Nothobranchius furzeri: one gene and its partner. The protein of the gene in region 1 interacts with the protein of each later gene in a pairwise test. Links are inferred from orthologs where the notes say so. Each region holds a gene or a part of one and is shown in the gene's direction. Other genes may lie near its edges. The genes, in order: ercc6l2 and si:ch211-127m7.2.

The links.
Region 2: the proteins of ercc6l2 (region 1) and si:ch211-127m7.2 interact in binary tests that used the Homo sapiens proteins (3 or more experiments, as listed by UniProt). The two-hybrid records come from large-scale screens. The link is inferred for Nothobranchius furzeri from reciprocal best matches to the Homo sapiens genes ERCC6L2 and CYREN.

The regions. Positions count from the first base shown.
Region 1 is NC_091757.1:51,349,000-51,352,822, forward strand, and holds part of ercc6l2 (DNA excision repair protein ERCC-6-like 2), read left to right. Parts: intron 1-927; coding exon 928-1,080; intron 1,081-1,387; coding exon 1,388-1,471; intron 1,472-2,571; coding exon 2,572-3,460; intron 3,461-3,823. UniProt on the Homo sapiens protein: Promotes double-strand break (DSB) end-joining and facilitates programmed recombination by controlling how DNA ends are joined in a spatially oriented manner during repair.
Region 2 is NC_091744.1:72,125,587-72,128,948, reverse strand, and holds si:ch211-127m7.2 (cell cycle regulator of non-homologous end joining), read left to right. Parts: upstream 1-1,217; 5' UTR 1,218-1,682; coding exon 1,683-1,789; intron 1,790-1,885; coding exon 1,886-1,988; intron 1,989-2,181; coding exon 2,182-2,508; 3' UTR 2,509-2,595; downstream 2,596-3,362. Other genes in the region: uncharacterized protein, read right to left, coding at 2,818-3,362. UniProt on the Homo sapiens protein: Cell-cycle-specific regulator of classical non-homologous end joining (NHEJ) of DNA double-strand break (DSB) repair, which can act both as an activator or inhibitor of NHEJ, depending on the cell cycle phase.

The DNA.
Region 1 (3,823 bases):
AGGTTGCAAAAATGTCTCCTCACATCTCCTCCCTTGAGATACCAGTAATCGGTAATTTAAAGGTGCAATAAGTAAGAATTTTAAAGTGACGTAATCACAAAACCGTCTGCTGTTGCAGCCACGTTGGAAGTAAGGTAATACTGAAATAGATTTCTCTCTCAACCAGCTGGGGGTTTGTCAGGTTTTTTTTTTTTTTTTTTTTTTACTTTTAAAAAGACCAAGTTATATTCTCTCCTGCCTCCATACTTCCTGGTTTCAGAGCCAATCATATGTGAGCCCACAAGGTTGCCAAGTCAACACAAACACTCCTGTTCCAGCATTTTTTATTTGGCACTGTCAGCGAAGAGCAGCAGCGTTTTGGACAGATTGTTAGCCAGTAAGCAGGAGCGACCCAGAAGTTATTTCTTGTGCCTCTAAGAACAGCACGGCATCTTTTCGTTTTACTCTAAAATCGGGTGAAGAGTCTAGACGCTAACACTGAGCTAACAATGCTAACGGTGAATTAGTAAAATATTGTCTGCTCTAAAAATATCTCAAGCTATTTTTTTAATTACCAACAACTCGATGTTACAGTGAAATATATTTATCAACCTACTGCACATGACTCGTCATCGCTCACCATCTAGAGTCTTCTGGCGCTGAGCCGTAATGGGAAACAGCTACTCAGAGCGGACTTGTTTCTTTTAATACAGAGACTGCGGTACCTACATCTGACCACAAGATGTCACTCTTACGTCATGCATCTTTAACTTCTGCAATAAATATACATTTCTATTTGAGAAAGGTTAGAGCAGCTCACGCTGTAACTGTTCCTAAAATAAAGATTTCATATTTTATTCGTTCAAACCCTAAATCCTCTCTTCTTGAGTGTAAGCCTGATGCTAAACCTCATGCTAACGGTTCAATGCGTGATTTTATCTTCACTAGCAATTGCAGAGCTCAGTTGTTGGCAAGGAGAGCGCCCGGAGGTACTTTGAGGCGGTGCAGAGGAACGACGTCTACAAAGGAGAACTGTTTGGGATCAAAAATCTCTTCAGGCTGCAAATGGAAGGAACGTGTCTCACATGCAGGATTCTGGAGGTCAGAGATCTAGCATGTCTTTGGTGGCCTGTTCAAAATCACATTATTGAGAGTTTTACACACACAAACGAAACAGTTGCTGAAAGATAAGTTAACAAAACATTGAAAAAGTGCATTCCTGTGAAAATTGTGACCAAAAAAAAAAACCTGGAAATCACAATTTAAAATGTAAAGGAATGAGCCTCTTTATATTTAAAATTCTTGCAAACATCTAAAGTTTAGAGGTTTGCAAGAATAGATCATGTTTCATTTTCATAATCCTGACAGCTCCAAGTTGTGGTTTGAATGTTTATATTTATCTTGTCAGCGGGAAGGACAAGTGGAGGCCGGCGTGATGACAACAAGAACACACAGAGGGGGCGAGAAGGAGGAGGAGACGAAGGGAGATGGCGTGAGTAGCTCTGCCGTTCTCAGAGACACGGGGCTCTCGTCTTTCCCAAACCTTTCCCATCTCCTCTCCCAAGTGGATCACTCACTCCCTTATTCCCATGTGAAAGAGGGAGTACCTCAAACGGGCTTCTTTTAATCTGTCAGTCAAACCAACCCACGCATTGTCATGCTAGCAGACCACAGCTCACGTCCTTGGAGTGGAAAAAAAGACAAACTTCTTACAGAAATCATCTAAGCACAGATATTTAGTGAAAAAAAATCAAAAGTTTAAGTTGTGTAAGCTGAATAAAACCCATTCACCATTCGATTATTTTGGTTCGTCTTTAGTCGTAGTGCCGAATGGTGATGAGGTTCTTGTCTCAGCAGCTGGATTTAATGACTTGCTTGACCTAATGAGAGGAGTGGACTTAAAAAAAGTCCATTTTTCTATTTAATTGTTATTTTGTTTTCTGCCAGTTGCATCATAGTTGAGGGCTCATGTCACATCCGTGTTTATTAAGATTTGTTGTTGGGAATCATCTGTTTTCCATCGTCCAGTGAAACCTCCCACCTAAAGATCCATCCATCCGTTTTCTGAAACCGCTTGTCCACGTAGGGTCGGGGGGGGGGGGGGGGGGGGGGGGCACTGGTGCCTATCTCCAGCGGTCAACGGGCAATCAGGCGGGGTACACCCTGGACAGAGAGCCAGTCCATCGCAGGGCAACACAGAGACACGCAGGACAAACAGTCATGCACACACACACACACACACACACCTAAGGACAATTTAGACAGACCAATCAACCTAACAGTCATGTTTTTGGACTGCGGGAGGAAGCCGGAGTACCTGGAGAGAACCCACGCATGCACAGGGAGAACATGCAAACTCCATGCAGAAAGATCCCAGGCCGGGAAGCAAACCCAGGACCTTCTTGCTGCAAGGCAACAGCTCTAACCACTGCGCCACTGCGCGGCCTCCACCTAAAGATGGTATTAAAAATGGAAATGAAGAATTTGTAGCTAATTCTGTTTCATATCATTCTCTTGCTTGTGTACCACTCTTTTGGCTATCCGTGTTTTTCTTTCGCTTTATGCTTTTTTTTTTTTTTTTTTTTACTTCAGGAACCCGGAGATCCACTCAAAAATGGCCCCCTGTCTAAGGATGAAGCAGCTGAGAAGACGAGAGACACGTTAGAGATCCCCAGTTATCTCCTGGACTTCAGCTGTGGGAGTGGATCAGAGGATGAGGAGGTGCAGGGGCTAAAGAGAAACCCGGGTGGAGATGATGACAACAAACGTGAGGGGGCAAGTTCGTCTCCCGGTCGGATGGGCCTCCTTCAGCTTGGCTTCTCTAAACTCCTCGAAAGGGTGAAAGAAAAACCAGACGCAAAGGAGGACAGCAGCTCTTCTGAAGAGGCTGAAGATCAGCGTGTAGAGGGTGATTCCACTGCCAGCTCCAAGACGTCCAGTCCAGGAAATACTAGTGCTGTCAGTCTTCCCAAATGCGAAACAAAAAACAAATCCTCTGACTCCGACGGAAAACATGAAGGTAATGGAAACATGTTTAACGAGGGGGAATACGCAGTGAGGCGGAGGCAGGGTCTGAAACGAGGGATGGATAAACAAACTGCATCGGATGACAAGAGCGATGAAAATTCCTCACCGGACAACAAGAAAGCTCATAAACTCAAAACTACTGTTCCCGACGTTCACCTATTTGACAGTTACTCCGATGAATCAGACGATCTAGACTTCGAAGCGAAGATGTGTTGCGATAAAGATGGTTGGAATCCATACAAACGAGATGGAGGACGAGGAAAGGCCGATCACATCACAAGAAGGCACAGTGCTGGTGTAAGGAGCAAAGCTGGATCTAGATACAGAGAGGACATAGAGACATTCACATCTTCAGAGGACGAACAGACGACCTCCACCGGGAGACGAGCATCTCTGAAAAGGCCGAGATCTCCGGCGTCTACAGAAAAGAAGAAGACCATCGACCATGTCCTAGGTTTGTCTGCACTAGGGGTTGTATGAACTAGTCGACTAGTCGACTTCACGGCTCTGTAGTGACTTTTTATGCCTGTCATCGACTAGTCGCTGTCACGTGATAATGACTGACAAGATGCAGTCCTCCAGCAGGTGATGAGCTCCTCGCGTCGGGAGGCGGAGGCGACGCGCTGTGTCAGAGCGTCGGTACTGACACCGGCGGTAAAACGGACATTTAACCAAACTCTGACCTTTTCCCTCTTGCAATTTTACCTTCCCCTCACCCCCATCCTAATCTTAACCAGCTTGCGCATGCAAAGCTCTGATCATTGATGCGCTCCAGGCATCTGCGTCCTGAGAACCGCCAAATCAGGTGTCACCACCT
Region 2 (3,362 bases), on another chromosome or scaffold:
TTTTGCTGTATTACAGAAAATTAAAGCAATTTTTAGTTAAATCTGAGTCTGTGGTTAAAAAAAACATTCTTACTACGTTCCATCTGCTGTGACTAATAAAAGTCTGGAGAGAATTTCAGGATTTTATTCATTTATTTATCAGTTCAAACCTCTAATGATATGTTGTTCCTGAAATGCTCTGAACTGGAGACCTTTTGGGCAAAACATCAGTGTGTGTGTGTGTGTGTGTGTGTGTGTGTGTGTGTGTGTGTGTGTGTGTGTGTGCGTGTGTGTGTGTGTGTGTGTGTGTGTGTGTGTGTGAGAAACTTTTTTCTCCTTTTTCTTAATTTAGTCAGATATACAAGCTGCTCTTTACAATCAAAGCCTAAGCTCTTGCAGAAAAGAGGCTTAAAGAAGATAATTAAAAGGATTGGGTGCACAATGGCAGCTTGTTGTGCAGAGTGACAGAAAGTGAAAGTCTTATACAGGGATGATGGGAGCAAAATGATAGGGGGAGGGTGGAGAAAGAGAAAGAGAAAGGAGTAAAAGAGAAAAGAAAGTGTCACGCAGCTCGACTCTGAGATGATCTGTCGGTAGTCGGTTTCAGAACGTGACTCCGGGGCCAACAAGACAGATGTTCTTCACTAGATTACACACAAACACAAAAACGAATCAGGAGCGGAGAAAAAGGGAATGTGATTTATTAAATGTGCAACAGAAATTGTGACAAACCCAAACTAATTAGAAAAAGATTACTAGAGGTGTCGTTCCACAAACATTTTTCAGGAAACAATGCCAGATATCCCTCTCATCACCGTTTAATCTGAATCGAAGGCCACTTTTTTGTAACTTTTTTGCACACATCTAGGCAAGAAATTTAGAGTTTAGATTATTTTTTCATAAAATAAACATCCTGTCATTTTTCTTATATTTAAACACTATTTATAGTAAATATTTCAACACTTCAAAGAGCTTATAGAAGCTGTGAGCTCAACAGCACTAGCCACTGCTTGTCTTTACTTTGGATCGATTCAGCACTGTTTGCAGGTAGAAAATATAAACATATAATTATTTTAAATGGAAAATAGTTTAAATTTTGAATAAACATCCCAATGCAAAAAATGAAACTGTTTTAATTAGTCCATGAAACATCAGATAAAAATTGCAACAACTTGAAAAAGTTTTAATGTTTCACATTTTTCTTGTTTATATCTCCAAACATTCCCAGGCATCATCCCTCATTTTCAGTTTTTGTTAGCATTAAGTCGTTTAATTTATTTGGGTGGAAACAATATAAATATTTCTCATTTGGAATATGTAGGTTATTCCTCTGCCGATTTCATTATTTATTTCATTTTTTAACTTTCATTTTTTTAATAAATAAAAAAAAGCCTGAACGGTGAGAAATCACAGCAAAGTTTTACAGACTCCTTCCTGAAGCGAAATAAAAGAGATTTCTCATGCCATCTAAAGGTCACGTGCAAGCATAGACTACATACGCGTGCAAGGTGTTTTTTTTTTATTTATCGTTTCCATGGAAAAACAGTGTTGTGATGGTGCAGGTTTCCTGTAGGGGGCGCTCAGTTCTGTAATTGGTCATTTGACGTCACAATGACGCGTCGTTTTCTTCCGGTTTACGTTTATTTTGGTTAGACAAATGTCTGTAGGAAAAGAGAGGATGTAAAGTTCTGCGTGTGTCAAACATGTCTGGGAAACACCGGACGCTTCCTTCGTGGATGGCAAAGAAAGAAGATAAAGCAAAAGAAAAAAAGGCGCCACTGAAGACTCAGAAAAAGCCGAGAGCTGCAAGGTAAAGGGATGGGAAGAGCGTGTCAGGTGTTTGGTTCGGTTCAAGTTCTCAGCAGATCTCTTTTACTAACAAATATATCTCACTAAATGTCTCCAGAGCTGTTTTCTACTGTATGAACGAGGCGGAGCTGGTGGAAGCCGCTGCTTCGTGTCTTACCGATGGTTCCTGTGAGGATGTGCTGCTACTATTTCACCAACAGGTGGCACTGTTTCACATGTTTTAATTTATACCCATTTCTACAATGATTAATCTGCTGTGTGAACTGTTAAGTGTTTCTATTTATTTAATACAACAAAGTAAATGTTTTATAAAATAAAGAAAAAGCTCCTCACACTTGTGTAAACATTATTGAAGCTCCCTGGACTAATTCTGGGTGTACGTTCTCCACGCAGGCTAAAAACCAAGCCCAGAAGACAGCAAAACCCAAGCCTGATGCTTCACGGATAAAAGAAAAGCGTTTTACTGAGATTTTAGAGGAATCTTCATCAGACTGCTCCGCTGACCCAGAAACTACTTCCGTTTCAGAAACAGGCTTGGACATTACAGAGGCCGAAAAGTTGCCATACATGAGCCCACAGCATCCTGAATCCGAGGGCGAGAAGGATGATCATAAACTCATAAACACGGATGTGGAAACTGAAAAAGAAAAGCAGATGGCAGAAGATGCTGTAGAAGAGGACGAAGCCTTGCGGCTTGTACGGGAGATTTTTTTCACTTGACCAAAATAGTTAATAACCTTTGCAGAGTTGTACCTGTCTTTTTTTTCTTTGTGGACAAAACTAAACTTTTTAGTGGGGAGAATAAAACTTGAGTGATCTGTATTCACTTTTTAAAAAAAAGCTACATGGAAAGTACGGCAGCTTTAATCAGTAAATCAAAAATTCTGTTGCACATTTTCAGAAATCAGTTGTGCATGTTTTTGGGGGCAAAAAGTGCTGCAGCAGCAGTAAAATGCATTTTAGCTAAATAGTTTGTGTAGTTTTCTTTACAGGTCACATATTAAATCATGCAAACTCATTTAATCATAGTCAGGGCATCAGATTCTTCCCTGCAACTCCAGTAAGCACAGTGGTGACGACCAGCTCCAGCTGCACACCCACGCATAAATAAAACCAAAGGGTCAAGTCTTCCCAGGTCACATAAGACTGATACGAGAGCAAAAAGCCCACGATGCCAGTCAGGAGGAGTGTGCTTGATGCTGCCTGGCAGACCATGCTGAACTTGAGTGTTGATCTGTCTTTAGCGTAGGCTGCTAACAGCACCGCCAGCAGAGCAAAGGCCACAAACGCGAGTGGAGCATAAAAACACAGGATAAGCAGCGTTGCTACAAAGTTAATGTTCCTCTCAGAGTCTACTTCATCCGGAGAGCTTCTTTGCCACCTGCTGCAGGTGACTTCGGCGTGTCGACTTGTTTGGCAGAAGAGGAAGGGACTGATGACAGCTTGACTGGAGGAGATGAACACACCAGCGAAGTACACCAGTGAGGTTGCCATCTGAAGGAAGATGAGCAGGAGAAGCATGGAGATCCAGATTAAGAACAATGTTGAGTTCCTCGATGAGAAAGTATTAATCG